Linked DNA regions of Oryctolagus cuniculus. The protein of the gene in region 5 interacts with the protein of the main gene of each other region in a biochemical or structural test. Links are inferred from orthologs where the notes say so. Each region holds a gene or a part of one and is shown on either strand. Other genes may lie near its edges. The genes, in order: GSK3B, CHD8, AXIN1, MAGI1, CTNNB1, TCF7L1 and AKT1.

The links.
Region 1: of the proteins of CTNNB1 (region 5) and GSK3B, one has a biochemical effect on the other in vitro, tested with the Homo sapiens proteins (11 studies listed by BioGRID and IntAct). The link is inferred for Oryctolagus cuniculus from reciprocal best matches to the Homo sapiens genes CTNNB1 and GSK3B.
Region 2: the proteins of CTNNB1 (region 5) and CHD8 form a complex in vitro, tested with the Homo sapiens proteins (3 studies listed by BioGRID). The link is inferred for Oryctolagus cuniculus from reciprocal best matches to the Homo sapiens genes CTNNB1 and CHD8.
Region 3: the proteins of CTNNB1 (region 5) and AXIN1 form a complex in vitro, tested with the Homo sapiens proteins (2 studies listed by BioGRID). The link is inferred for Oryctolagus cuniculus from reciprocal best matches to the Homo sapiens genes CTNNB1 and AXIN1.
Region 4: the proteins of CTNNB1 (region 5) and MAGI1 form a complex in vitro, tested with the Homo sapiens proteins (2 studies listed by BioGRID and IntAct, with this or other methods). The link is inferred for Oryctolagus cuniculus from reciprocal best matches to the Homo sapiens genes CTNNB1 and MAGI1.
Region 6: the proteins of CTNNB1 (region 5) and TCF7L1 are reported together in a solved structure, tested with the Homo sapiens proteins (2 studies listed by BioGRID, with this or other methods). The link is inferred for Oryctolagus cuniculus from reciprocal best matches to the Homo sapiens genes CTNNB1 and TCF7L1.
Region 7: of the proteins of CTNNB1 (region 5) and AKT1, one has a biochemical effect on the other in vitro, tested with the Homo sapiens proteins (2 studies listed by BioGRID). The link is inferred for Oryctolagus cuniculus from reciprocal best matches to the Homo sapiens genes CTNNB1 and AKT1.

Annotation. Positions count from the first base shown.
Region 1 is NC_091435.1:76,548,021-76,552,098, reverse strand, and holds the start of GSK3B (glycogen synthase kinase-3 beta), read left to right. Parts: upstream 1-1,278; 5' UTR 1,279-1,329; coding exon 1,330-1,417; intron 1,418-4,078. Other genes in the region: transcription factor SOX-4, read right to left, coding at 1-917. UniProt on the Homo sapiens protein: Constitutively active protein kinase that acts as a negative regulator in the hormonal control of glucose homeostasis, Wnt signaling and regulation of transcription factors and microtubules, by phosphorylating and inactivating glycogen synthase (GYS1 or GYS2), EIF2B, CTNNB1/beta-catenin, APC, AXIN1, DPYSL2/CRMP2, JUN, NFATC1/NFATC, MAPT/TAU and MACF1.
Region 2 is NC_091443.1:53,484,804-53,489,034, forward strand, and holds the start of CHD8 (chromodomain-helicase-DNA-binding protein 8), read left to right. Parts: upstream 1-1,431; 5' UTR 1,432-1,533; exon of another isoform or gene 1,534-1,755; intron 1,756-3,834; 5' UTR 3,835-4,001; coding exon 4,002-4,041; intron 4,042-4,231. UniProt on the Homo sapiens protein: ATP-dependent chromatin-remodeling factor, it slides nucleosomes along DNA; nucleosome sliding requires ATP. Acts as a transcription repressor by remodeling chromatin structure and recruiting histone H1 to target genes.
Region 3 is NC_091450.1:34,342,523-34,345,184, forward strand, and holds the end of AXIN1 (axin-1), read left to right. Parts: intron 1-81; coding exon 82-189; intron 190-1,119; coding exon 1,120-1,287; intron 1,288-1,638; coding exon 1,639-1,765; 3' UTR 1,766-2,162; downstream 2,163-2,662. Other genes in the region: PDIA2 (protein disulfide-isomerase A2), read right to left, coding at 2,436-2,480, 2,596-2,662. UniProt on the Homo sapiens protein: Component of the beta-catenin destruction complex required for regulating CTNNB1 levels through phosphorylation and ubiquitination, and modulating Wnt-signaling.
Region 4 is NC_091441.1:84,208,541-84,212,040, reverse strand, and holds part of MAGI1 (membrane-associated guanylate kinase, WW and PDZ domain-containing protein 1), read right to left. Parts: intron 2,290-3,500; coding exon 2,086-2,289; intron 1-2,085. UniProt on the Homo sapiens protein: Plays a role in coupling actin fibers to cell junctions in endothelial cells, via its interaction with AMOTL2 and CDH5. May regulate acid-induced ASIC3 currents by modulating its expression at the cell surface.
Region 5 is NC_091441.1:106,476,750-106,480,249, reverse strand, and holds part of CTNNB1 (catenin beta-1), read left to right. Parts: intron 1-167; coding exon 168-271; intron 272-348; coding exon 349-687; intron 688-911; coding exon 912-1,070; intron 1,071-2,733; coding exon 2,734-2,853; intron 2,854-3,073; coding exon 3,074-3,224; intron 3,225-3,317; coding exon 3,318-3,439; intron 3,440-3,500. UniProt on the Homo sapiens protein: Key downstream component of the canonical Wnt signaling pathway.
Region 6 is NC_091433.1:117,471,410-117,475,406, reverse strand, and holds the start of TCF7L1 (transcription factor 7-like 1), read left to right. Parts: upstream 1-1,197; 5' UTR 1,198-1,331; coding exon 1,332-1,574; intron 1,575-1,658; coding exon 1,659-1,722; intron 1,723-1,944; coding exon 1,945-2,072; intron 2,073-3,997. UniProt on the Homo sapiens protein: Participates in the Wnt signaling pathway. Binds to DNA and acts as a repressor in the absence of CTNNB1, and as an activator in its presence.
Region 7 is NC_091451.1:46,976,398-46,979,897, reverse strand, and holds part of AKT1 (RAC-alpha serine/threonine-protein kinase), read left to right. Parts: intron 1-2,134; coding exon 2,135-2,263; intron 2,264-3,500. UniProt on the Homo sapiens protein: AKT1 is one of 3 closely related serine/threonine-protein kinases (AKT1, AKT2 and AKT3) called the AKT kinase, and which regulate many processes including metabolism, proliferation, cell survival, growth and angiogenesis.

The DNA.
Region 1 (4,078 bases), on a different chromosome or scaffold from region 5:
CATTTTCCGCTCTCTAGGCGAGGCTTCCCGGGGGCCCATTCTAATTGGCTCTTCAGGCCGATCGGCTTTTTCCGGGAGGAGCCGTAAAGAAACGACGCCCGTGATTGGCTTCGCTGGGGGTTCGGCTCCGCCGCCGAAGAGGGCGGGCGTTGGGCTCGGCCGGCGATTCCCAGACGCCTGTTACGCGGGCGGCGGGGCGCGGGGCGGTATAAGGCTGGGTGGGGGAGGAAGGAGGCGGAGGACGAGTAGGAGGCGGGGAGAGGGAGGGGGAGGGGGGAAGGCGCTAGGCGGCTGCGCAGACGGAGCTCCTCACACAGAGCAGCCCCCGACCCGGGCGAATGCGGGTTTGTGCTGCCGCTGCCGCTGCCGCCGCCGCCGCCCGGGCCGAGTGACAAAGGAAGGAAGGAAGCGAGGAGGAGCCGGCCCCGCAGCCGCTGACAGGGCTCCGGACTGGGGGCACAGCACGGACACTTCCTCAGCGGACACGGAGCTGAGGCGCGGGGCGTGAGGGCGGCCGCGCTGGTGCTTTGGACGGGGGAGGGGGCCCCGAGGGAGACGGAAGCGGTTGCCGGGTTCCCATGTCCCCGGCGTATGGGGAGCAGTCGAGGAGCCGCTGCCTGGGGTCTGAAGGGAGCTGCCTCCGCCACCGCCGCCGCCATGGCCGCTGGATCCAGCCGCCGCCTGCAGCTGCTCCTGGCGCAATGAGGAGAGGAGCCGCCGCCGCCGCCCGCCTCTGACTGACTCGCGACGCCGCCGCCCTCCAGGACGCCGGGCCCCCGCCGGATCCCGCCGCTGCCGGAGCCGCAGCGTTTCCCGTCGCATCTCCGAGCCGCCCCCTCCCTCTCCCTCCCTCCTTCCCATCCCCCCTTCTCTTCAAGCGTGAGACTCGTGATCCTTCCGCCGCTTCCCTTCTTCATTGACTCGGAAAAAAATCCCCGAGGAAAATATAAAATCCAAAGTACTTATTTTCAATCAAGTATTTGTCCCCATTTCACGTGATTTTTTTTAAGGAGTCCCCCCTCCCAGGAAAGGGAGGGGAAAGAATTGTGTTTTTTTTTTCCCCTCCCCCAGCCCCAAATCATCTATATGTTAAATATCCGTACGGATCCGTCTTGAAGGAGAATACATCGCTCGTGTTTTTTTTTTTTTTTTTTTTTTTTTTAATATAGCTATACAAAAGAAGTGAAAAGCCAAGAGGACGAAGTCTTTTTTTTTCCTTTCTTGTGGGAGAACTTAATGCTGCATTTATCATTAACCTAACACCCCAATATAAAACAAAAGGAAGAAAAGGAGGAAGGAAGGAAAAGGTGATTCGGGAAGAGAGTGATCATGTCAGGGCGGCCCAGAACCACCTCCTTTGCGGAGAGCTGCAAGCCAGTGCAGCAGCCTTCAGCTTTTGGCAGCATGAAAGTTAGCAGTGAGTATTGATTTTATTTTACACCCCTTCTCCGTCTCACCCCTAAAATAAGCAACCTCGAAGTCCTAGAACCTTAACATACTAGACCTGATGGAACACTCACCAGAGCTAATGGAAAAGAGCAAGACCTGTCTTCAGTCGAGGATGAGGCAGCTCCCTCTTTTCTCCTCCCATAACCCCCTCCCTCGGTCTCATTAACCTTGAGTTCAGAGAGTACGATTTTTATTTCGATGATTCGATTTGAAACGTTTCTTGTGCTTTCCTTGCTACTGATGGTCGCCTTTATCCAGTGCTTGGGTGTTTCCACTTGGAAATTGTGATGGAAGCGTTTGCTTGCCGACCCTTTTGAATAAAGAGGACTAAACGACTCATAAACCATTATGTGCATTTGCAGAGTGTTTGTCTTTTGGAACGAGGGAGGAAATTCTGGTTAGCTCAAGTCTCGGGTTATCACAGCTTTGTGTACTTCATGGAGACATGAAATGTCCCAGTCTCCTAACGTTTCTCTTCGTGCTGGTGTAACTATACAAAGTATTTGTTCTTAACCTGGGGATGAACTTGCTCAGTAACCAGCATTCATGTGTGGAGGTGATCATCGCTCCCTCCCTTTACAAGGGGCTGATGGGAACAGATAAATATCCAGCAGCAGTAGCATCTCCAAATACATTGTCTTGAATTGGATAAGTGGTTTAATCTGTTATCTCTTAACCTTCCTGTTTTGGCATTACCAATCTGCCACCATATAATTTGTTTAATCAAAAGGTAACTTGGAAGGAGGTCCAAGTTTTGATTGAGGCGTATGTTGTCATAATGCCAGATACTAAGTTAAATGTTAATTGTCACTGACTCATTGTCATTTAAGTTCAATTTTGACGTGCTGTTGCATTTGTTACTTGTTAAAATATTCTAGAGTACAGAGGATTCCTTTTTAGGAATACTTAAAATATCCTTGCATCAGTTTTCTTGTAGATAAGATTGAATTTAGTTAGAGGAACATAGATTTAGTCCTTTCCATCATAGTTTTTGCAGAAGGTTGTCCTTCTGGAAATGGTAGGGCTGTCTGGGATGTGGTCTCAGGGTTGTTACCAGACTGTACTTTCACAAAGTCTGTTTTCTTGAGGTGTTTGTTATACTAAGTATCCAGTGATCCCACAGAGCTCTGTTTGTGAAGGGGTTTGTGTGGCAATTAATGGCAGGTTATTTAAATATACTTCCAGATTTTGACAAAAAAAAATGTTTATATTGTTTCCTTATTCTCTGAGAAAGGGGCATGAAGAGGGCAAACTATTTTGTTGCCTAGAGGAGCTAAGAGAACTGAAGAGCCTTAAACAGTAGATTCTGTTATGTGGACTTGATTACATCCTTAAGCAATATAAAATGTTTACTTTTAATTGAACTCAAGATTCCAATCACTTTGGCTTTTGGAACTTGCCTGAAACAGGATAGTCCAAGGTAATAGCTGAATGGGAGATTATTTTTGAGTTAATTTTTTTTTCAGTGACTAGCTAGTAGAGAATGCAGAGTATGTAAAGAGGGAAGCTGATTATGCATCTTTTTAGAGAAGGGTCATGCTTTCTAAGCCCTTCATGGGGTCATTTGAAAGAAGTTTTTTATTCTGGGGGTAATTTTTAGCTATGATGAAGCAAATATTACAATAGCTAATTAAGAGCCTCTTGTGATACTGCAGTGATTGTATGTTTTACATCTTGGTAATAATTAAAAAACACTGAAAGTCAGTTTTAGGAATATAATTATTAGATGTATTTCAGAGATCTATAATGCTAGTGTATAATGCTAAATTCTGGGATTTTATATTTTGTTTCTAGGATTTTCTTTGAAGATGACTCCTTAATTCTTGATGGCATACATGTTGACCAAGAATGGTGTGATTTTTGTAAAGTATGTAGGTTAAAATGTTTGATTTTCTGTTATCATGTCCTTCAACTTAATATTTAAAAAGTTGGAATTTATTGCTGAATATGCATTTTTGATAAGCCTAGCTTTAGGGATATTTAGAAGAAAGGGGAGTCATTAGGCATTTGTTAGGTGCTGGTGTTTTCAGGACCCATGTTCAAAAGAGATACATATGAAATTATAGTCCTTGGCTTCAAAAAAAGCTGGTCACTTAGTAGTAGAGGCAATTTATGGGAAAAACAATGAAAACAATGGCATTACGACTGCAAGGCAAAATACAAATTGAATCCTTTGTTCAGAGGGACAAAGAATAAAGGGGTGAGACATGCATTGGAGGGAGAAGGCTTCCTGTAGAGAAGGTGTGCTTTTAAGACAGGTGTTAAAGAAGGCTGTGTCTTGAATTGGTGGAGAAGCATGAAAGATTCTAGGTGAAAGGACTCCAGGCACAGAGATGGTGAGTTTTGTAGGAGAGGCAATAAATAAGCTGGTAAATCTGAATTATAAAAGCCTAAGTAGGAAAATAACAGGTAAAATTTGAGAAATATTGGAAGGATAGCTGACAGAGGGCAAGGGGTCTGAAAAAGTTTGACATTCATGAGAGCTCTGAACAGTTTTTTTTTTTTATAAACTTTATTTATTTTAATTTTATTGGAAAGGCAGAGAGACAGATCTTCTCATCTGCTGCTTCACTCCACAAATGGTCACAACAGCCAGGGCTGGACCAGGCCTAAGGCAGGAGCTGGAACT
Region 2 (4,231 bases), on a different chromosome or scaffold from region 5:
ATGGGGTGCAGGGCCCAAGCACCTGGGCCATCCTCCACTGCACTCCCTGGCCATAGCAGAGAGCTGGCCTGGAAGAGGGGCTACCGGGACAGAATCCGGTGCCCCGACCGGGACTAGAACCCGGTGTGCCGGCGCCGCAAGGTGGAGGATTAGCCTATTGAGCCACGGCGCCGGCTCCCTTACAATTTTAAAGTAGTTATTAGAAAATTGCTGTCTCCAGTAGGTTTTTTTTTTTTTTTTTTTTTAAGATTTATTTATTTGAGTTACACAGAGAGGTCCTCCATCCACTGATTCACTCCCCCACCCAAATGGTTGCAACGGGCAGAGCTGCACCAATCCGAAGCCAGGAGCCAGGAGCTTCTTCAGGGTCTCCCACGCTAGTGCAGGGGCCCAAGGACTTGGGCCTACCTCAGAGTAGGCCACAGCAGAGCTGGATCAGAAGTGGAGCGCCTGGGCTTCGAACCGGCGCCCATATGGGATGCCACCGCTTCAGGCCAGGGCGTTAACTCGCTCTGCTGCGCCACAGTTTCTAAAGTTGTCACCTAACGGTCCTCCTTCTTAGATACCAGTATAATTTTTCCCATAAATCCTTTATCATTTGCCTTATTTATATTCACAAGTAGTTTGGCTCTATTGATGAGTTTTAAACCTTTTAAATAATAAGTAAATAAAATCTTCCCTGAATCAGGGCTCTCTGTATTGCCAAAGTCAGAACACTGGAAAATTTGCAAGTAAAGCAAACTCCCAGAATAGATACACAACCTATGTCGGTCATATGTTGATAATCCCAGAGGTATGAGGTGTCTAAAAAATTACCCTAGAGACTGGTTCACACCCGTCCTCATTCCAAGAATTAATTTTTGCCTCGTTGATAAAACCGCTTCTCTCCTACAGATAGGTGGGAGGCGAGCGCTGGCTGCCTCTAACCACGTTTAGCATCATTCCAGAGCGCCTCCTCACGACTGCGGGACATCCTGCCTGCAGGAGCGTGCGGGGTCCGGAGCTCAGGCGCGGGACGGAACGCCGAACAGGCCTTCCCATTCTTTTAAGGCGCTCCTGCCCCCTCCCCGCCCCAAGGCAGCAGCCGATCCAAGATGGCTTCCCCGAAACAGGCAACTGAGTGTTGTTTTAGGTTAGAGCGCCCCCAACGGCGGGGGCCAAAAAAAAAAAAAAAAAAAGGGACGCCCAGAGGCCTGGCAGCCGGTGAACTGAGCCGTCAGCGCCGATCTGCCGCCAGATTTTATTTCCAATCAGGCATATCCGTGGCTGCCTACGTACCCTACTCAGCCTTCTAGGCCCTCCCACTCTCAAGAGACTTCCTGGATGGCGCTCACCCTAGCCCGCTGGAAGAGGCTGGGCCCCGGCCCTGCCATTGGTGGATGGGAGCGCAGGTGGGCGGAGCCTTGGGAGAATGGACTACTAGCAAGCTAGCTTGAGGCGAGGGCTGGCCATGCTCCGCCGGAAGGCGCCTTGTTCTCCGAGAGGGTGAGTTGAAACGCTGAGTGTGGATAGGAGGAACCCGGACTAGTTCAGGTAGGCTTCCCGCTCACACCCACTTCTCAGTGCTGCTCCCGGAGTTTTTGCAGAAGCGAAGGTCCTTAGGATGACTTCGCTGGCTCCCGCCCCCCCCACCCCTCCCCGTCTCCCAGTTGTGAGGGATCAGGTGCTGGGTGATGCTCTGGACTGAACCATTCTCCTTTGTGAGAGGCTGGGGGAGAGGGCGGCTGCCGGGCCGCGGGCTCCGAGCAGGGCCACGCCGCGAGGGGACTGCTTGGGCCGCTGTGGAGTTTTTAGGGCTTGGCATTGCATTGCTGGGCGTGGTGCAGATCGGAGGCAGCGCCTTGTTCTCCTTCCCCCGTTCGAGGAAGGGAAAACTCCCCGGCTCCGTTTGGTTACTCCGTACTCTGAACTCAGAAGTGGGAGGTTAGGGTTCTCCTTCCTTTCCTGCTTTCTTTTTTTCTTCTTTTTTTCTTCTCTTGTATTTTAATAATGAAGGTGGGTAGGAAAGCCTGAGGTGAGCGCGTGTGGATGGTTATTGTTCTTGCGTAGGAGTGATTTCTCCGGGTCTTGGGGGTGGGGTGGGGTGGTGAAGAGCAAGCTGTCGGAGAGTGTTTGGAGACGGTGGGGAGACAGCCGCTGAAGCCTCGGGTCTCCCTTGACAGGTCTGCAGCGCTCACTGCTTTTCTGTTGCATTATATAAACTTCACCGGCAGAAGCCCCCTCCCCCTGCCTCCTAGCCGGTGCAGTTTCTTTATTTACCTGTCTCCAGTGTCTGCTACTGCAGCAGCTGTGCAAATGCAGCAGCTCAAGCCTCTTCAGGGGCGGCCCTGAAGTCACTGAGGTCTTTGCACAAGAGGTATATATGGTGGGCCAGTCTTTCTTCGGTGACTGAGCGAAGTGAGGCAGAAGTCACAGATTTAGGACTCCATGCTATTTCCTTTTAAAGAATTGAGAGTGGAGCGCCCTGCACCTAAGCCAGGGGAGCTGCATGAGCAGCGTCTGCTGCACCCTCACATCGCATCAGCATGCACAGATCATTCCCATGTCCTCAGTCTGTCCGAGTGTCTCGGGCTATCCTTGGCAGTAGCCCGAAGTCCCTTATGGTATGGAGGCACATCAGATACTAGAAAGTGAATTTGTGATTTGGATAATATCTTCTGTTGAAGGGTTTTCTGGGAATGGTCAACCAGTAGGTTTCAGAACAAATTCTGATCAACCTTGTACGGTCAGAAGTGGAGAACTTCTTATTCAAATATTTTGGAATTGTCCCAGCCCTCAAAAGAAGTTGGGAGAAAAGCAACATTTGCCATTTAAGAAAACCTTTTGTTGCCAGCGTGCAGTGCCAGTGGGCCTGCCAGACAAGGTGAAGGACATTGCCAAAGAGAGGGTAGATGTGTGTGGAGAGACAGCGTTGGAGGGAGGTTTAAAACTAACAGCAAAGGAGTAATGCATTGGGGTAGGGATTTGAGGGAGCAATGTGTGGGGTGGGTACTCCACACAGTTCACACCTTTAACCACATTTGGTCCGTCCTGGCTTTCTGATCTTTTGATTTTGTCAGGTCTCAGATAGACAAAGTCCATTTAGATTTGGATAGAAAATACGTTTGTTTAACTAGTTGGGAATCACTAGGAAATGTAGATCTGGTATGTTCTAGGATGGCCTTCTCTGTAGCACCACTGGATGATTAGGTAGAGGAATTCTGGCATTGTGATACTACTGCAGAATTTTATTGTAACAGGAAAAAAAATTGACTTTATAAGAAGGATTGAGTTTTTGATAGGTAATGGAGGATGATAAGAAAGATCATTCTTTCAAAGAAACCGTTGTACACATTTTTGAAAAGAATAAGAATTTTCTAAACACTTAAGATTAATCTGTGGGTGCCCAAACCACTTGGTTTTGGAAAGGATGAAGTTGGATATTCTCATCTGTATAAGGCCTGTAACACTGAGTTGAATGCTAAATGCTTTAGCAATACTGTTTGCTATTAGCCCTGGAAGAGTTAAGCTGTCTTCTGAGTTTTCATTGAACCTAACACCTAGGAGAAAAACTGAAGGCAAATATTTCTCTGGAGTCTGTACCCTCTGGTTGGTCTACTTCTGGACTTGGATTTGAGCAAGTCCTATCTTCAGGTCGTTGAATGACCTGACCTTGTACTACTGTGACCACACTGGTATTTACCGTTTTACCTTTAGTGTTAGATTCACTGATAGACTGTCCTGTCACTGAACATTCACTGACATTGTGCTTTTGTTGCCTGTTTAGCTCAGACCTTTATTTACTTACTTATTTCAAAGGCAGAGAGACATTTTTTCCACTGGTTTACTCCCTAGATCTCCACAACAGCCGGGGCTGAAACCAGGAAGCCAGGAGCCTGGAACTCTATCTAGGACTCCTAGATGGGTGGCAGGATCCCAACTATTTGAGCCATCGCCTGCTGCCTCCCAGGGTGCATGTTAGCTGGAAGCTGGAATCAGAAGTGGAGCCCAGTGGGTGTCCTATGTGGCATCTTAACCACTGTATCAAATGCCTGCCTCTAGGTGAGACCTTTTAAAGAATGTAAAGAGATTCTGATTTTCAAGATATGATTCCCTTGGTATCTAGAACCAAACTGACAGTCATATTCCTGTGTAACAGAAGTGTTATAAGAACAGTTTTCTTTGCCTGAAAGTTTGTTTGACCATTTGCTACAGTCTAAATTCTGTCCTGCATTACAAATTTTTCCCCTTA
Region 3 (2,662 bases), on a different chromosome or scaffold from region 5:
TGGGGCCTCTGGCCCCACCGTGGCCTGGAAGGAGGCGTGGCGTCACCGGGCGCGTCCCCGCTGACACGGGCTGTTCCCTAGGCATGTGCAGGAGGTCATGCAGCGGGGTCGCAGCTGCGCCAGGCCCGCGTGTGTGCCTGTGCTGAGCGTGGTGCCAGCCGTGTCGGACACGGAGCTCTCCGAGACAGAGTACGTGTGCCCCAGGGCTCTCCCACCAGGGCCTGTGCTGCTGCTCCGGGGACACGGAGCGGCTGCGGCTGGAGGAGCCCCCGCGGGGTCAGGCCTCAGGCCGCCCCAGAGCCGTCCCCGTCTCCACCCGTGACGAGCGGCCACGGGGTGACGGGAGGCCTCTGGCCGATGCGGGCGTCTCAGCAGCCTCCCAGCCCTGCCTGACCGAAGACCGCGCTCTGCCCGTCTGGAACACGGCGGGGCCTGCGGCCAGGGGGAGCTTGGGACCGCTGCCGCAGGTGGTGCCGGCCAGACACCGGGCGTGCCTGCGCCTTTCAAGACAGCCGCGGGCTGGGGTCGCCCCGAGAGGGCCTCCATGTGGGCGTCCCCTGAGCCTTGGGCCTCACCACGCTGACCCTTGACAAACCCCTACCAGGCCCAGGGGCTGCTGCGTGCGCTCAGAGCCTCTGCTCCAGGGTTCGCCCTGCGCGGCCTTCCTGAACCCAGCCCTGGGCAAAGGTCCCAGGCCTGCGAAGCGGACAGGGTGGAGGGGGCCCTCGCGGCCTGACGGCCAGGACTCGGGCCCTAGAAGCTTCAGGTGCACCCAGCAGGAGGAGGGGCCGGGCCCAGTGAGGGCACAGCTCTCGCCTGGGAACAGGAGACAGCAGCCAGCGGTCAGGCTGTCGGCCCGGGCAGCAGGCCCTCTGCTGTGGGGCAGGCGCGGTTACGTCGTGCGTGAGGCTGCCGGGTAGCACAGCCCACCCTCCACCCAGAGCGGGTGGACCCCTGCCTCCTGGCCTGGGAAGCTGCGCACGAGTGTCCACGTGACGGGGGGAGCGAGCTGGGCGCGGGGGCCACGGCGTGCTCGCCCCGGCCATCTGTGCCTTGCGGGGGTGGGTGGCACCCATGCAGCCCCGACAGCCCAGAGGTCACCAGCGTCTCTGCCCTCAGGACGAAGTCACAGCGGAAGGGGGCCGGCGGGGGCAGCCAGGCGTGCGACAGCATCGTGGTGGCGTACTACTTCTGCGGGGAGCCCATCCCCTACCGGACCCTGGTCAGGGGCCGTGCTGTCACCCTGGGCCAGTTCAAGGAGCTGCTGACCAAGAAGGGCAGCTACAGGTGAGCCTCGAAGGGGCTGGGGTGACCCCTCCTCCACTTAGCCTCCCACGGAGCAGCTGCAGGACGGGGCCTGAGGGCCCCCGCGCCCACTTCTGGGCTCTCCTCTTGAAGGTGGGAGCACAGGCTCAGGCGTGGGGCTGCGGTCCTGTGTGCTCTGACCCGGGCCAGCCCCGTGGCCTCCAGGTCCAGCCTGTCCCCCACGACCGGCCCCTGAGCAGGCCTTGCAGGAACCGAGGGCGCACCAGGCCCCGGGCAGCAGGCCGCGGGCTCAGGGACAGGGCCTCCACCCCGGGCTGGGCACCCGCAGGCCCCTTCCTGCCGGGCTCCGCCCTCACCGCCCCGCCCCCACAGATACTACTTCAAGAAGGTGAGTGACGAGTTCGACTGTGGAGTGGTGTTCGAGGAGGTGCGCGAAGACGAGGCCGTGCTGCCCGTCTTCGAGGAGAAGGTCGTCGGCAAGGTGGAGAAGGTCGACTGAGCCCGCGCCGGGGCGGCCGCCTCCCGGAAGCCCTCCAGGAGCTGCCTGTGTGCAGCCAGCGTCTGGCTGACGAACAGCCGCCTGCCCCGTGCGGCCCCAGGAGGGGCCCATCCACTTCCCATAGCAATACTCGGAGAGTCTGGCCGGCCACTGGTGTCCCCGCTCGGCTGGCCCGGCCCAGGAGTCCCCGCGCGTCTCTGGACTGTACGTGCCACCCAGTGCCTTCCGCCAGCCGTCTCTCGCCTGCCACTGTGAGAGCCGCGCCGGAGCCGGCCCTGCAGCCCCTGGCCACGTGTAAATATGTACAGTTCCCAGGCCCGTTTTTCATGCGCTGACTTGTACAATGGTCTTTTCAAAGGTACTTGGATAATAATGAAATAAAAGTTTTTGAACCTGCTCTGGTGTGGAACACACCTGTTCGCTGCAGGGGCCTGCTGAGGGCACACGTCCTTGGCCAGCTCCTGGCACAGCGGGGGGACCCTGGGGCGCAGTGGCCGGCTCTGGACTAGGGACCCCCTGGGCCTGGCTCGACTTCTGCCCAGGGGCCCAGGAACCACGCACACGTCCAGAACTCAACCTCTTTATTCACAGCTGGGAGCAGGCCACCCCGGGAGGGGGTGCGGAGGGGGCCGGGCCGCCCCGGGAGGGGGTGCGGAGGGGGCCAGGCCGCCTACAGCTCTTCCTTGGGCTCCACCGTGGAGTTGGCCGGTGGCTCCTAGAGAAGAGAGAGGCAGAGAGGCCAGCTCAGAGCGCTGCCCTGCCTGCCTGCCTGCCTGCCTGCCGGGCCAGGGCTCAGGGTGAGGCCTGGACCCCTGGGCGGGGGTGCCCACCGGCACGGGGGCTGCAGGCTCCTCGGTGGGGGCGGGCAGCTCGCCCCCGCTGTCCAGAAACTGGGAG
Region 4 (3,500 bases), about 22 Mb from region 5:
AATGGAAGCGGATTCAGCAAGATTTTCCCTCCACCAATCTAACTCCTCTGCCTCGACTCCAATTTCCAAGATGGCAATTCTCAGCTCCTTTTAAAATATGTGCAACCCATGTCCACCCTTTGCCAGACCTGATTCCCTTTACCGGCCATCTGACAGTTATAAAGTGACTGGTGGAGAGTTTAATTTTCACAACAACCATCTCCTGAAAAAGTCTGAATGAGATCACAACCACAGCAGACCATGTGTTGCCTTAAAAAAAAAAAATCACTCCTTCACTTTATTACACCTACTTCATGTTCACTTTGTCCTAACCAAGGCAGCACACGAGATGCCTACCTGAATTTTATATTTTTAAGTACTAGAGGTTAAAAAAATATGCCCGTTTTCCAACTGGTGTTCAAGTTTTCATAAATATTTTCCATCATACCTGATTAAGTCAAATGTAATGTGTGTGTGTGCGCGTGTGCACGTGTGCGCGCACGAGCGCTTCAGTATAAGCTGCTTTTGCATATTCATGTCTCTCCCGATTTCAAGCTCCTGACTAGAACAGACCCAGTTCTTCTGACTTTGTTTTTGAAGTCTCTCCATGGCACATAGAAAAAATGTATCTAAATTTACAGAGTAAATGTGGCGCTCTCAACCAGTTCTTGCTTTATTTTTCTGATTTCCTTCATTTGTTCCATTAGGAATCTATAGTCTCTCATCTTGCAATTGCTTCTGTACAGGGTAATAACTTTCCGGAGTGGTGAGTTGGTGGAAGGGCCCCAGAACACACCATAAGTTCCTATCCACAACTTAGCAGGAGGAGGGAGAAGCAGACCACCATTCAAGAATATGCATTTTCCCTTCACCACCAGTGTGCTATTTTTGACAAAGTTTTTTGTTCTTGAAATCAACAACTTTCAAATATTTATTCTGAAAGTAAATTCCTGGAAAGTCCTGATTAGACCACTCAATTTTGAACTATAAGGCTCATTTTCTTAAAACTAATATACAAAATTATTCATTTGCTGAATAACTTTCACTGATCTTCTCCTTCTACAGATCCTCAGCATAGACTTTTTATCACAGTATCCATATAAACCACATTTTCCTCTTGAGGAAATCATACTTTGAGAATTTTATTTTATAATATCTATAGCAAGAATGAAAAAAAGTGAACACTTTGGGACGAGTATTACTTTTCTCCCGAGGACAAAGTCATCTTAATATGAAGGTCAACATTCAGGGCTTAATTCTTCAAGGAATCAATACTTATAGCTTCATTTTTATTAGATTTGAATAAGAGGATGAATATTGCTATTTTGTGCTGCATAACATTTCTATGGGAAAAGATGTGGTCTGACCAACTGGATGTTATTGGCACCCACTGCAGATGAAGCCAAATGTTCCCTGGGAGGTAGAATTCCACAAATGCAAAAGAACCCCAAGTCTGAATTAACCACTCAAGCAAAAGAGCACCTACCTGGATTAACAGACAAAATGTATTGAAAATATATATATTTAATTCTTTCTCTATACATTTGGAACAAATCAAGTAGGCATAAACCCTAAGACGCTCCTATTAAATACAAACTATTATAATTCATTCATTCAGAAAAAAGAAAAAAAAACATAATATTGGCTCTGCCTTGCCATTAACTAGGTTTTGTGATGTCATCATATTATATAGCTCAATTTTAGCTTATTGTTTAAAAAAATCCATATCTGATTTCTAGAGAGAACATCAAGTGATATTTCCTACCTGCACTGAAACTATTCTATTGAACATCAAAACCAAAATAAATGGGAGAGAGCTGAAGAATTTATGCAACTTTGGCATCCGCAGTAAGTAAGGGTCATGGGACTAGAGGATTAATTAAATAAGAAGGTGAGCTATAGTTTAGTAACAATGGTTCATGTTTGTTTGATGGGTATGTTTAGTGAGGAGTGGGTAGAGCTGCTTCTATGTCAACACTATCCAATTACATTAACACTAATGAGAGAGAGACCTGGAGAGACACACACACAAAGAGAAAGGGAAGAAGCGGGGGGGAGAGAGAGGGAGAGGGGGAGGGATAAAAGGTAGGCTTTAGTATACTTTACCATCCCCAGGAATGATGCGAAGGGTAACCGTGTTTCCTGCTTCCTTGATTAGGTTGACAATGTCTGAATGGGATTTGTTGGTGATGGAACATCCATTTACTGCCAAGATCCGGTCTCCTACTTTCAGCTTGCCACAGCGGTCAGCGGGGCTCCCCTCAATAATCCGACCTATTTTGTGAGGCATAGCCACACATGCATTGCCTGCTTTGATATCGAGTTTTAATTGTTTTTAAAGTTACGTGGGAATATAGTGAAGGGAGGAGAAAAAGGGTTGAAAAGGGAAAGAGAAGGTTAAGTGTTAATTAATTAAAGCATTAAGCAAATGTTATTCAAAGGAGAGCTCGGCGCCCATGGTCCGAACATTGGCGAACTCCTGGCTAATAAGGAGTGCGTCCCCGAAACCAGACATCACGGCTGCAGTCTTTCCTGATTCAACATGGACGGAAAACCCCAGCTTCTCTCTTCACAGCAATTACAAAATTTGGGAAATCTGGCAACTTCGGAAATTCTCTCAAGAGCCCCTAAATAACTCAGCGCCAGCTTATTTTGGGACTGCCAATGTGAAACCCAGAGGGAGGCTGGCTGCCTTCACTCATTGTGTGTTCCCATCACTTCATTTTTGCCAGCTGTTGTGCAAGCTTCTGCCAATGTTTAGTTCTTTTTCCCTTTAGAAAAACAATCCCTGGTTCTGTGGTGAGGCATGAGAGTCGGCTAGCACAGAAAATTCCATCTGCGAACACCTGATGGGCAAACACTGGCACTTGGTACCTTCTCTCCAAAGCTTTAGGCAAAGGGCATCATGACAACAGATGCACCAAGAGAACACCTAACGTTGAACCTCACTTTTCCTTTCAGGATCTTTGCTCAATCAGCCCATCCTGGGTGCTTCCAAGGTAGGGCTGGATTGGCTCTCATCACCTCTGAAATCTTGCTCCTGCCTCGCAAAGATAACCTTAAGGGAAGATGAAAATCAAGTACCTGATTCACAGTAAGGTTCGAATAATTCCCCAACCCTTTCCCTCTCATGATCGTCCTTTTCATCACCAGTTACCATATGCCCACATTAAGAAAAACCAGGAAAAGGGCATCTGAAGAGGAAGGCTGATTGTGTGAGCACTCTGAGGCACTCAATGCTATTGTTAACTTCTAGAGAGTGGTGGGCAACTGGCTCTGCAGCCTGGCGTTAAGTTTCTAGCTGACCATACACTGAGTTTGAAAGCTGTTCATGCAGGTTCACTTATTTTGAGAATTTGCCAATCTGGGGGACCATGAAATCAGTTACGCAGTTGAGCCACCTTTTGGAAAGGAAAATAAAATTAACATGGAAGACCTAGAATCTAAATAGGTTCTTCCACCTTGAGGGTAAGTCTAGACCTTGAGGGTAAGCTGTATAGGAAAATACACTTTAATTCCTT
Region 5 (3,500 bases):
AGAGAGGAAGGGAACAGTAGCTGTTTGACAGAATGTCACTAATGAAATAAAGTGGAATAGAAAGGGACCGGATATAAACACTCAGGGAGGGACTACAGAGGGTGTTTAGGACTGATGGGGATGTTGAGCCTACTAGCCACTGCCGTATCTGCTTTGTAATTGTCCAGGAGGAATGCAAGCCTTAGGACTTCACCTGACCGATCCTAGTCAACGTCTCGTTCAGAACTGTCTTTGGACTCTTAGGAATCTTTCAGATGCTGCAACTAAACAGGTAAATCCTAAGGAAACTGTGCTTTTGTGATGAAATCAAAGGGAATGTGTACCAAGCCTCTGTTTTTATCTCCACAGGAGGGGATGGAAGGGCTTCTTGGGACTCTTGTTCAGCTTCTGGGTTCAGATGATATAAATGTGGTCACCTGTGCAGCCGGAATTCTTTCTAACCTCACTTGCAATAATTATAAGAACAAGATGATGGTGTGCCAAGTGGGTGGTATAGAGGCTCTTGTGCGCACCGTCCTTCGTGCTGGGGACAGGGAGGACATCACGGAGCCTGCCATCTGTGCTCTCCGTCATCTGACCAGCCGACACCAGGAAGCGGAGATGGCCCAGAATGCTGTTCGCCTTCACTATGGACTGCCAGTTGTGGTGAAGCTCCTGCACCCGCCATCCCACTGGCCTCTGATAAAGGTAAAACATCAACAAGGTAGAATGCTGCTGAACTGGAAATGACCTGCCTCTAACTATAGGATGGATATCTACGCCAAGGGGTTGATAAATAGGAATTACATTTCTTAGTAATAAATGTGGCTGGGGACAGGTAGGATTCTGAAGTGTTGGCGTATAGATTTAGTGTGGTGGGAAACTTCGGGTAAGAAAATGATTGTGTTGAGTTGTATTTTTCTTACCTGCAGGCTACTGTTGGATTGATTCGAAATCTTGCCCTTTGTCCAGCCAATCATGCACCATTGCGTGAGCAGGGTGCCATTCCACGCCTAGTTCAGTTGCTGGTTCGTGCACATCAGGATACCCAGCGTCGCACATCCATGGGTGGAACACAGCAGCAGTTTGTGGTAGGTGAATCTTGGTAGAAAGGGCCAGCTAAGTCCAGAGGATCCTGAGCTACATGGCTTATTGGCTCTGCCAGTGCCCTTCTTGAGAGGAGTGTGAATGGCTAAAAAACCTGACAGTGTTGTGTGGGAGCAGAGATCCTGTGGACCTCACTGATGCTGCTTAGGCATGTGCTATGCATGATCAGCCTTTGAGTTTGGAAGTACTGGTACTCACCCAACACAGGCTCACCTCTTCAGGAAGGAAGTGTACTAGTTGAGTCATACTGTGAATAGAAGTCTCTCTGATGGAAGAGTTTCTTATCCCCCACTATAAGCTGAGTTTTGCACCAAAGTATTTGACAGGCCTTTTTACTCTCTCTTCCATGAGAGTTTTAACAACTGTTTTCATGAACTTAAAACTGTAATACTGAATTCAAAATAAGTAGTAGCATTTATGCAGTCTTGATCCATAATATTTTTAGCCTAAAGCTGTGATGTTGACTATTAAAACACATACTACACATGTAGTTAAACAAGGACACTTCTCACCTTTTAGACATTTTTTTAAAGACTCAAACCTTTTAAAAGTTTTCTCTAATTAGGCTCCTTTAAATAAGAAACATGGACCTTACCAGGACAGAGTTTGATAATCCCATTTTGCCAGTAGGTCTGTGTGCGTGTGCACTCATTTGCACTCCGGCTTTGGCTTTCTGTTCACTGCTTTTGGTGTTAGCCCATCTCCATAGAGTGCCTTAATAGAATGCCAAAGAATATCTTGTCTGGTTTTTTGAATCTCAGAGATTTTGTGTCCTCACGAAAAGTCAAGTTTCTATTTTTAAAACGCCACTAAAAGTATTAGAATGATAACGGAAAGAAAAACCACTCAAACAGGAAGCAGATGGTACTTCATTTGTAGAAGCTAACATCCTTCTTCACATCCAGGCTATCTGTTGAATGGCCGTAGGAGAATCGCCTGCAGAGTAGGGTTTCTTGTGATGAAACTTTGTTCACCAAATACATGTAAACATACAGGACTAGAAGGGGCACATGCCGTAAAAACATAGTTTGAACATCACTTCCCATCCACGTATCTTCTCTGTTTATATACTTTTTAGTCAAAATGATCAGTGCCCTTTTGTAAGAAAGTTACTTTGGGATTCAGAGGTCCATGGGAATTGTACAGTTAGCCCTTAGTATCTGAAGGAGATTGGTTCCAGGACCCTCTCTGGATACCAAAACCCACAGATGCTCAAGTAATGCATGTCCTCCTATATATTTGAAGTCATCTCCAGATTCCTTATATTATCAGTATAGTATAAATCATTGTTATACTTTGTTCTCTTTATAATTCCCTAAACAATAAAGTCTAAATAGTTCACCGTAGATGCAGGTTTTTTTCCTTTTAATAGTTTTGGTCTGTAGTTGATTGAATGTGGATTTGGAACCCAAGGATACAAGGCCGACTATACTTTGCGTATCACAGAGGGGTGTTGCTTACCAGTAGTGCCACTAGGAAGCCTCCTTTTGGTGACATTCAGGTGAATGGGAATCCTCCTTTATTCCTGCACTAACCAAAAATTACGGGGAGCTTTGGGCAACTGTAGTCTAGTAATTGCTGCTCAGAACCATTTACAGACTTTAAAGAGAAGACTGTCCTGTTGGTTAACCATGTTTCTTCTGGTAGGAGGGAGTCCGCATGGAAGAAATAGTGGAAGGTTGTACGGGAGCCCTTCACATCCTAGCTCGGGATGTTCATAACCGAATTGTAATCAGAGGACTAAATACCATTCCACTATTTGTGCAGGTATGTTGATTTTTAAATGAGGTGTTCTAGATTTTACATGTCTAAAATTTCATTGTGTTTCAGAAAATTAGGGACCAGAAAGATAGGGGAACTAACATTTAATTTTATGAAAATTGCCCCCTCACACACCCATTTTTTTGGTCAGTAGAAAGGAAAACATTGGGACTATAGCCTGTGTTTTAACTCTGGGTTTTCATTAGGTTTTGTGTTTTCTCTTTAGCTGCTCTATTCTCCCATTGAAAATATCCAAAGAGTAGCTGCAGGGGTCCTCTGTGAACTTGCTCAGGACAAGGAGGCTGCAGAAGCGATTGAAGCGGAGGGAGCCACAGCGCCTTTGACAGAATTGCTTCACTCTAGGAATGAAGGTGTTGGTGAGTAGAAAAAGAACCAGGGCTGTGGTGGCTGTCGTGTATGGTGAAGTCTCACCTGTTCCTTAAGGACCTTTTGTTTCTGTCCTTTCCCAGCCACGTACGCCGCTGCGGTTTTGTTCCGAATGTCTGAGGACAAGCCACAGGATTATAAGAAGAGGCTTTCGGTGGAGCTGACCAGTTCTCTCTTCAGAACAGAGCCAATGGCTTGGAATGAGGTGGGCAGCTGTGTCCGCACGTGGAACTGGAGCCTGTAGAGCAGGGAAGGCAGCTTGCTCT
Region 6 (3,997 bases), on a different chromosome or scaffold from region 5:
TTCTGCCTGGGTGGTTCCACGTGGATTCTCACTGTAAGGAAGTCACAGGGTTCATTTTCCCTGTCTCCCTCGGAGTGACCTGGCTCTCTCCACGCGCAGGGAAGTCCTCTCTGTCGGCTGGGTCTGGAGCGGTCTCGGCTCTTCCCCCGCTGCCTTCCAGTCTGCTCTCAGCAACAGATGCCGGTGAGCAAGGCTAGTGCGGGTTGAGGGAAAGTGTTGTTCAGACTTTCCGAACTGGCTGCAGAGGGTTGGTATCTTACTATCATTCATTGTGACAGCGTTTCTTTGCCTGGAAGCCGTCTGGGCAGCCTCCTTCACGTTCACGTGCTGCCGAGTTAGCCAAGTACACGGCTTCGGCAGTCACTGGTCAGATAATTCTACCTCGTAATGAAGCGAATTCGAATCCCTTCTAAACCCAAGAGAGCGATTATTCGATTTAGGACTTAATTCCCAACCACAGAGGAAAGAGTCATCTTGGGGACCTCATCGAGGCTGACTGGAAACCCGGATCTAGTGGGAAAGCCGGGCTGGGGCGCGGGGCGCGCTGAGACCCCGTCAGGAAAGGTGGGTGGGGGCGGGAGGCCGCCCGCCACGTTCCCGAGCGCCAGGAATTCCTCCGTCCCCGGCTCTGCGCATCCGGCGGCGGCGCCCGGGGCTGCCGGGACCCCGCGCTCCCGGGACGCCGGGCGCTGGGGCGGATCTGCGCGGCCGAGGCTTTCCCGCAGGGGGCAGTGCCGGCCGCTCGGACGGCGGGAGGGGCGCGACTTCGCGCAGAAGTCTGGGGGCTCTTGGCAAGAAAGTTGAGGGGCTGCGAAGGGGCGGGGACGGGGCCGTCCGGGCTCTGGGGCTGGCGGGCAGGGGGCGCCGGCGCGGTCGACGCAGCCCCCGGAAGGTGCAAGCGAGCGGGGAGCCAGGGCGAGCGCCAGTGTGCGCGCCGGCTCTCCGGGCTCCGCGGGCGCGCGGGTGTCAGCTTGCAGCCGGGCTCCTCCCTCCGGCCCCCCTGGCCGGCCGCGCGGTCCCTCCCTCCTTCCCCGCTCGCCCCTCCCCGGCGGGCCAGGCGCTGGGACGCCCCGGCGGAGCAGGCGGCGGCGAGTTGGGGAGCCCCAGGCTCGGCGCTGCCGCAGGGGCCCGAGCCGAGCCGCCCCCGCCCCGGCCGGGCAGCGCCGGGCCCGCTTCCCGCGGGGCCACGCCCTGTCAAAACTTTGTTGCGGCGGCGGCGAGCGGAGCGGAGCGGGCCGGCCAGCGGGAAGGAGGGGCGCCGGGCCGGGCCGGGCAGGGCGCGGGCGGCCAGGGGCTCGGAGAGCAGCGGCCCCGGCCCGCGCGGCCCCACCATGCCCCAGCTCGGCGGCGGTGGCGGCGGCGGCGGCGGCGGGGGAGGCGGCGGCTCGGGCGCCGGTGCGGCCGGCGGAGGGGACGACCTCGGAGCGAACGACGAGCTGATCCCCTTCCAGGACGAGGGGGGCGAGGAGCAGGAGCCGAGCAGCGACAGCGCCTCGGCGCAGCGGGACCTAGACGAGGTCAAGTCGTCCCTGGTCAATGAGTCGGAGAACCAGAGCAGCAGCTCGGACTCGGAGGTAAGGAGGCGCCCGCGGCCGGCCCCCGGGGGACCCCGGCCCAGCGCTCGCTCACCCGCCCTCGCCTTTGTGTCTCCTCCGCAGGCGGAGAGGCGCCCGCAGCCCTCCCGGGACGCTTTCCAGAAGCCGCGGGACTATTTCGCCGAAGGTACGTGCCCGGCTGGCCAGCCTCGACTCCCGGCGCCGCTGCGCCGCGCACCTCGGTTCGCGCGGCCCGCGCTCCCCTTGCAGGAGTGACCAGTCCCTGCCCTGCGGCCTCCTTGGATCGCGCGTCGGGGGCGCTTGGGTTTGCGGGGCGGGGGTGGGATTCCTCGTGCCGTGGCGCTGTCCGGGGGACCCGGGCCTCACCCCACCTTGGTCTTGTCCTCAGTGAGAAGGCCCCAGGACGGCGCGTTCTTCAAGGGCCCCCCTTACCCTGGGTACCCCTTCCTGATGATCCCGGACCTGAGCAGCCCCTACCTCTCCAACGGACCCCTGTCTCCGGGAGGAGCGCGCACGGTAAGCGTCGGTCAAGCTGCGCCGGGGCGGCTGGGGACCTGGGCCGGTGGGATGCGCCCCCGGCCCGGCCGTGGCGTGGGGGATGGGGCCTCCTGCGCCGCTCGCGGGCAGAACTTGTTTGCGGAGTTGCGCGGCTCTGGGGCGGCTGCGCTGGCCGCTGCCTGGATGGAAGGAAAGTTGCTGTAACTTCTCCCCTGCTGCGGGCTGAGGCTATGGGGCCCCACCTGTGGGATCCTCCTTGACCTCTGGGAGTCCGCCCGCCGCAGAGGAGAGCTTGGGTTTAGTGTCTGCTTTGGGGGTCTCGTTTTCCTTTCTAGAACTCGGTCAGCTTTCCTTGGCAGCTGGGCAGGGGGCTGGGGAAGCCGGGCTGGCGACGCTGCTTCGGCTCCCCGAGTTCACTGGGTGGCTGTGAGCTGGTTCCTAAGAAACCCGGTGGTGGTGGCGGGTTATTCCCAACCCCGTTTCCCGCCCCCAAGCCCTCGCTGCCGGGGCCTCAACTTTGCGGCGGAGCCCTGGATTTTAAACTGGCCGAGAGAATCCCGAGGGCGACCCGAAGCATTCTTCAAGTTGAGGAACTTGGCTTTTTCCCCCTTTTGTTGCCGGCTTTTCTCATTTAAAGCGAGCGCTGGGACACTTTAAACCTGTTAATGGGCGCGCATTGTGTGCTGCGCGCTGGCATTTAGAGCGGTGATTAAGCAAATTGACCGGGCCCCAGACGACGTGCAAATGAGGGCGGATTCCTTCGCCCCCTCTCAGGCGCTCGACTCCCGCCCCCCGCGTTGCGAGGGGCACAGCTTGAGACGGGCGAAGCCTTTGTGTCCCCGGAGCCGCCAACCCGTCCCTAGGCTCCCTGCCCAGGTGCTGGGGCCGACGGCTGATAACTGGGTGAGCGCCTGCCCACTGTGCGCCCGGCGCCGGAGTCCTGCCGCTGGGTCGCTCCGCACCTTGCTTCTCAGGGCCCGTGCCAGTCCATTCTCGGTTGGGGGGCGCGGGGACGGGTTTCTGTTAGGCGCTCTTGTTGCAAGACAGGGTGTGGGAACAAGCTCTGCTGGAGGGCGAGTGGGTGGTACAACATGGCCCGCACCGCTTTGGCCTGCTGGACTGGGGCATCCCGGGAAGTTCTGAGTGTGTCGTTTTTTCGCGAAAGCTGCATTTGGGCCTAAGGGCTGTTGCATTTTCCCAATCGGATGAAAAGAAGTGCACCTAAAAGTGGAACCCAACAGGCTGTGGCAGCTATGGTACTGGTGCCTGCAAATGGTGATGGAGAGCTGCTGAAACTTCTGGGCTGGGGGCTGCGGGGAGAGCTGTGCCGCTAAGATGCCGCTTTAACGTTTACCATTAGGAAGGAAGCGGGGAGTGAGGGGGGTGGAGAGGGACCAGCAAGCACCAGCTTTGGGTGTGAGCCCTGAGCCAGGTCCCAGTGATGGGGAAGTCGCCAGCTGTGACTGTCCCTCTGCAGCAGGTTGTTCCTCTAACACCCGGTTCCCTTGAGGGCGTTTTATTCTTCCCAGCTTTCTAGTTCACATCTAGGACCATGACTGCGACAACTGCTTTGTCTGCTGCCCCGCGGTCAAACAGTCCAAGTGAAACATTTTCTTTATTTCTTTGTTTTAAAGATTTTATTTATTTATTGGAGAGGTAGGGTTCCAGACATCGAGTATGAGAGACAAAGTTCTTCCATCTGCTGGTTCACTCCCCTGATGGCTGCAATGGAATTCCTGGTTGTCAGATCCTGGCTTGGGTGGGATTTGGAGACCCTCCTTGGGGAAGCCGAGCCTTCTTTTCTGCGTCCTCACTCATCCATGCAACTGCTCCCTGCCCCGACCAGTGTCGTCATCCTCCCTTTTGGGGCAGTCACGACACCCACCATGCCCTCTCTTGAGGACTTAGCATCCCGCTCCTATAGCTCTGTCTTGTGCCCTGGT
Region 7 (3,500 bases), on a different chromosome or scaffold from region 5:
CCCCAAGCATTGTGTGGTGTCCCCGAGGCCAGAGCTGACCCAGGCCGGGTCGCAGGAAGCTAGCTAACCCTGTCACCCTGCTAAGGGCAGCCATCCCCTTCTCCCTGTCCCGGGCATGGTGGCCTGGAGCCTGGACAGGACCTGGGGCTCCGTGCAGCACCTCAGGGGCCACCACTGTGCTCCCAGCCCAGGGCTGGGTTCCAGGCTGTCCTGCAGGTGGGCCGGCCAGCAGTGGGGCGGGAGCGGGTCCCACCCGGGCATCTGCACCTCCTGATGGCAGCGCCTGGCTGGACCTGCCTAGAGGGCAGCTGAGCCTGCTGGAGAGGCCCTGGGTGGAGCCTGGCACCGCCACAGGTCTGAAGGGGGGGGGGGGCGCTGAGGAGACCCTGCGCTGGGCGCCAGTCGCTCCCTGCCAGAGGCCCAGGCCCCTCTGGACCTCGGGGTGGGCAGGTGCCAGTCTGCAGGTGTGCAGTGGCCTCTGCCCCCACCCTGGCGGGGCCGGGGGTCTCAGGTCCCACGTTGCTTTGGCTGAACTTAAGACGAGGGCTGTAGCCCAGGCACGGCGAGCACTGTGGGTCCCCATGGGCCTGCCTGGCCGGACGCAGAGGCAGAGGTGTCCCTCGGCCTGCTCCTGGCCCCCGTGGAGGGGTCTGTGTGCTGAGGGCAGCCCCCTCACCGACACTGGGGGTGGGGGCCCTGTGTGTGCCGTGTGGCGCAGGACCGAGATGGATTTCTGGGGCGCGCGCGGGTGCTCATCAGTCTCCCCGCTCGCTCAGCGTCCTGGGGAGCGGCAGCTGGTGGGATGGCAGGCACTCCATCAGGGGCCGACAGCTCCAGACTGGCGTGCAGGCGGGTGGGCACGGCGCCGGGCGGCCCGGGACGGGGGGGCTGTGCAGCCCCCAGAGCCCGCTCCGCTCGCCCCCTGGAGCCCCTGCCTGCCCCCACCTGCCCAGAGGGGGTGCCTGTGGTGGGCTGGAGCCTCTTCCCTGAGGGTCGCCCTTTGCTCCTGCCAGAGGCCCCGGTGGCCCCAGCCTGGCGGGGCGGGGTGGGGGCTGCCTCCAGGCTCTCCCAGGGGGGTCCTGGGTGGGGAGGGCGGCTGGCCCCAGGACCCTGCATACAACCCCTCCCAGCTGTGGGGGGCACCCTCATGAGGGGGCAGAACCTTGTCCTTCCCCCAAAGCAGCCCCCGCCGCACCTGAGCGACCGCCCCCTGCATTGTGGGGTGGGGCCTGTTAGCTGGCCTGCCCCCCTGGGCATCGGGGTGTGGCCTTACTCCACTGCTCTGGTCCTGCTGGTGGGCTGGCTGGAATCAGGCCCACCCCAGTCCAGGCACAGTAAGCACCCAGGGGTGCTTGGGGGGGCCTCTTAGAGCCCTGGGCTGTGAGGGGGGTGGCTGGGGTGCAGGTCCCAGCCCAGCCCGGGGCTTCCGGGTCCCATCTGCAAGTGTGTCCAGGACCAGGGTGCAGAGTGGCAGCTGCCGGGCACCTGGGGAGGGAGGGCCACTGCCCTGAGTGCCTTGCCCAGGGGACGCCTGCCGACCCGTGTCCTCTGAGCTCCTCTGGGGGTGGCCTGTCCCTGTGTCGTCCCCAGCTCTCAGCCCACAGTGAAGCAGCTGCCTAATTAGCAACTTCCCTGTCGTTCAGACTCTGTGCTCGGCAAAATGTAAATGAGGCGTTTTCTCGGGTGTCAGTGTGAAAAATGGCGCAGCGCGGCTCCACGGAGCATCTGCCGTGTCCCCGAGCGCCGCGGTACTGGGGGAGTCGGCCCCCGCGCCTGGACCAGGGGCTGTCCCAGGGTGGGCGGCAGCTCTGCCCTCGGCCCCAGGACTGTGCTGCTGGCCCTTCCTTGCCAGTGCCAGGCTCTGTCCTCTTGGCTGGAGGCCGGCTCAGGCCAGCAGCCACACCCTGGAGCCTGGGTGCCCGGCCAGTGCCTGAGCTGGGCACCAGCTGACCTACTGCCTCCCCCTCCAGGAAGGCCAGGTAGGTGGGCCCAGGCCTCCTCCCCGTGTCCCAGGTGTGCAGGTGGGCCTGGCCCCTTTCCGGCGCAGCGAGCCTGCCTTCCCGTCCCCCACCCTCTGCCTGGCGTAGCTGGCCAGCGACCTGGACAGGGGCCCTCACCGCCTGTGTCCTCACAGGGGAGTACATCAAGACCTGGCGGCCACGCTACTTCCTCCTCAAGACTGATGGCACCTTCATCGGCTACAAGGAGCGGCCACAGGACGTGGAGCAGCGCGAGTCCCCACTCAACAACTTCTCTGTGGCACGTAAGTGTCCCCTCGGCCACTCCGGGTTGGACGTGGGGCGGTGCCTGGAGTGGTCCGTGCCCTGTGGGACTGGGGGCCAGCCCTGGCTGGCGGGGGCCTGGGCCAAGCTGCATGGCTGTCCTGTGGAGCTGTTCCCTGAGCCTCCTGCCCAGAGGGGACAGCTCGGGCTATAGGGAGCCTCCAGGCTCTCCCAGGGGGGTCCTGGGTGGGGAGGGCTGCTGGCCCTAGGACCCTGCATACAACCCCTCCCAGCTGTGGGGGGCACCCTCAAAGCTGGCCAGTGCCACTTTTTCCCCTGCCTGGCTCCCCAGTTGTCCCTCCCACGATGCTGGCTGGGGCCGGGCAGGTCCACTGCCACTTTCTACCACCTGGCAGCCCAGCTCTGCCCTGGGGCTGGCCTGGGGCAGCTGGGGGCGATGGGCCTGCCAGCCGTGGGCCTCTGGGTTCTGCCCCTCCCTCTCCTTGGCCAGCACCCTGGGGTCCTCTGGCCCCTGGCCTTCAAGGGCCACCCAGGTTCTGGTTTGGGGGCTGCAGGGAGGTCTGGCACAGGTGGCTCGACCTGGGCGTCGCCCTGCCTGTGGGCATCTGCGTGGGGATGGGCTGCGGCACTGGCTGCTGGGTCATCCCTCCCGGGGCCCACTCTGTGCTAGAGGAGGGGCCTGGCCGTGGGGATTCCCGTGAGCCCCAAATGCCACCCTCCCCGGCCTCAGGCCCAGCTTCCTGGGCCGGAGGCCACCAAGGAGGCGCAGGCCAGTTCCCTGGAAGCCTTGCTATGCCCGCTGTGGGGGTGAGGCAGGAGGGGCCTCTGCAGAGGAGCCCATGGGGGCAGCGCCAGCCGGGGGCAGGGGGCGCTGCCTGGCCAGGGCGAGAGCCAGCGTGTGTGTGCGGAGGGCCTGTGTCCAGGGGCTCTGCCTTGTGGGAGGACCGAGTGAGCTTCCTGCCCGCACAGACACAGGCCGCCTCCCACCAGGCTGGGCCCCGGGCCCCCACGCAGCCCCTCGCCCGGCAGACCTGGCCCTCGTGGTTGCCAGGGTGCTGGTGCTGGAATGCACACGCTCCCCGGCTGTGGGCGTGCGTGCTACAGGCACACGTGTGGCAGGCGTGCGTGTTCCAGGGGCGTGTACTGTAGGTGTGCGTGTTCCAGGCGCGTGTACTGTAGATGTGCATGTTCTAGGCGTGTGTACTGTAGGTGTGCGTGTTCCAGGGGCGTGTACTGTAGGTGTGCGTGTTCCAGGCG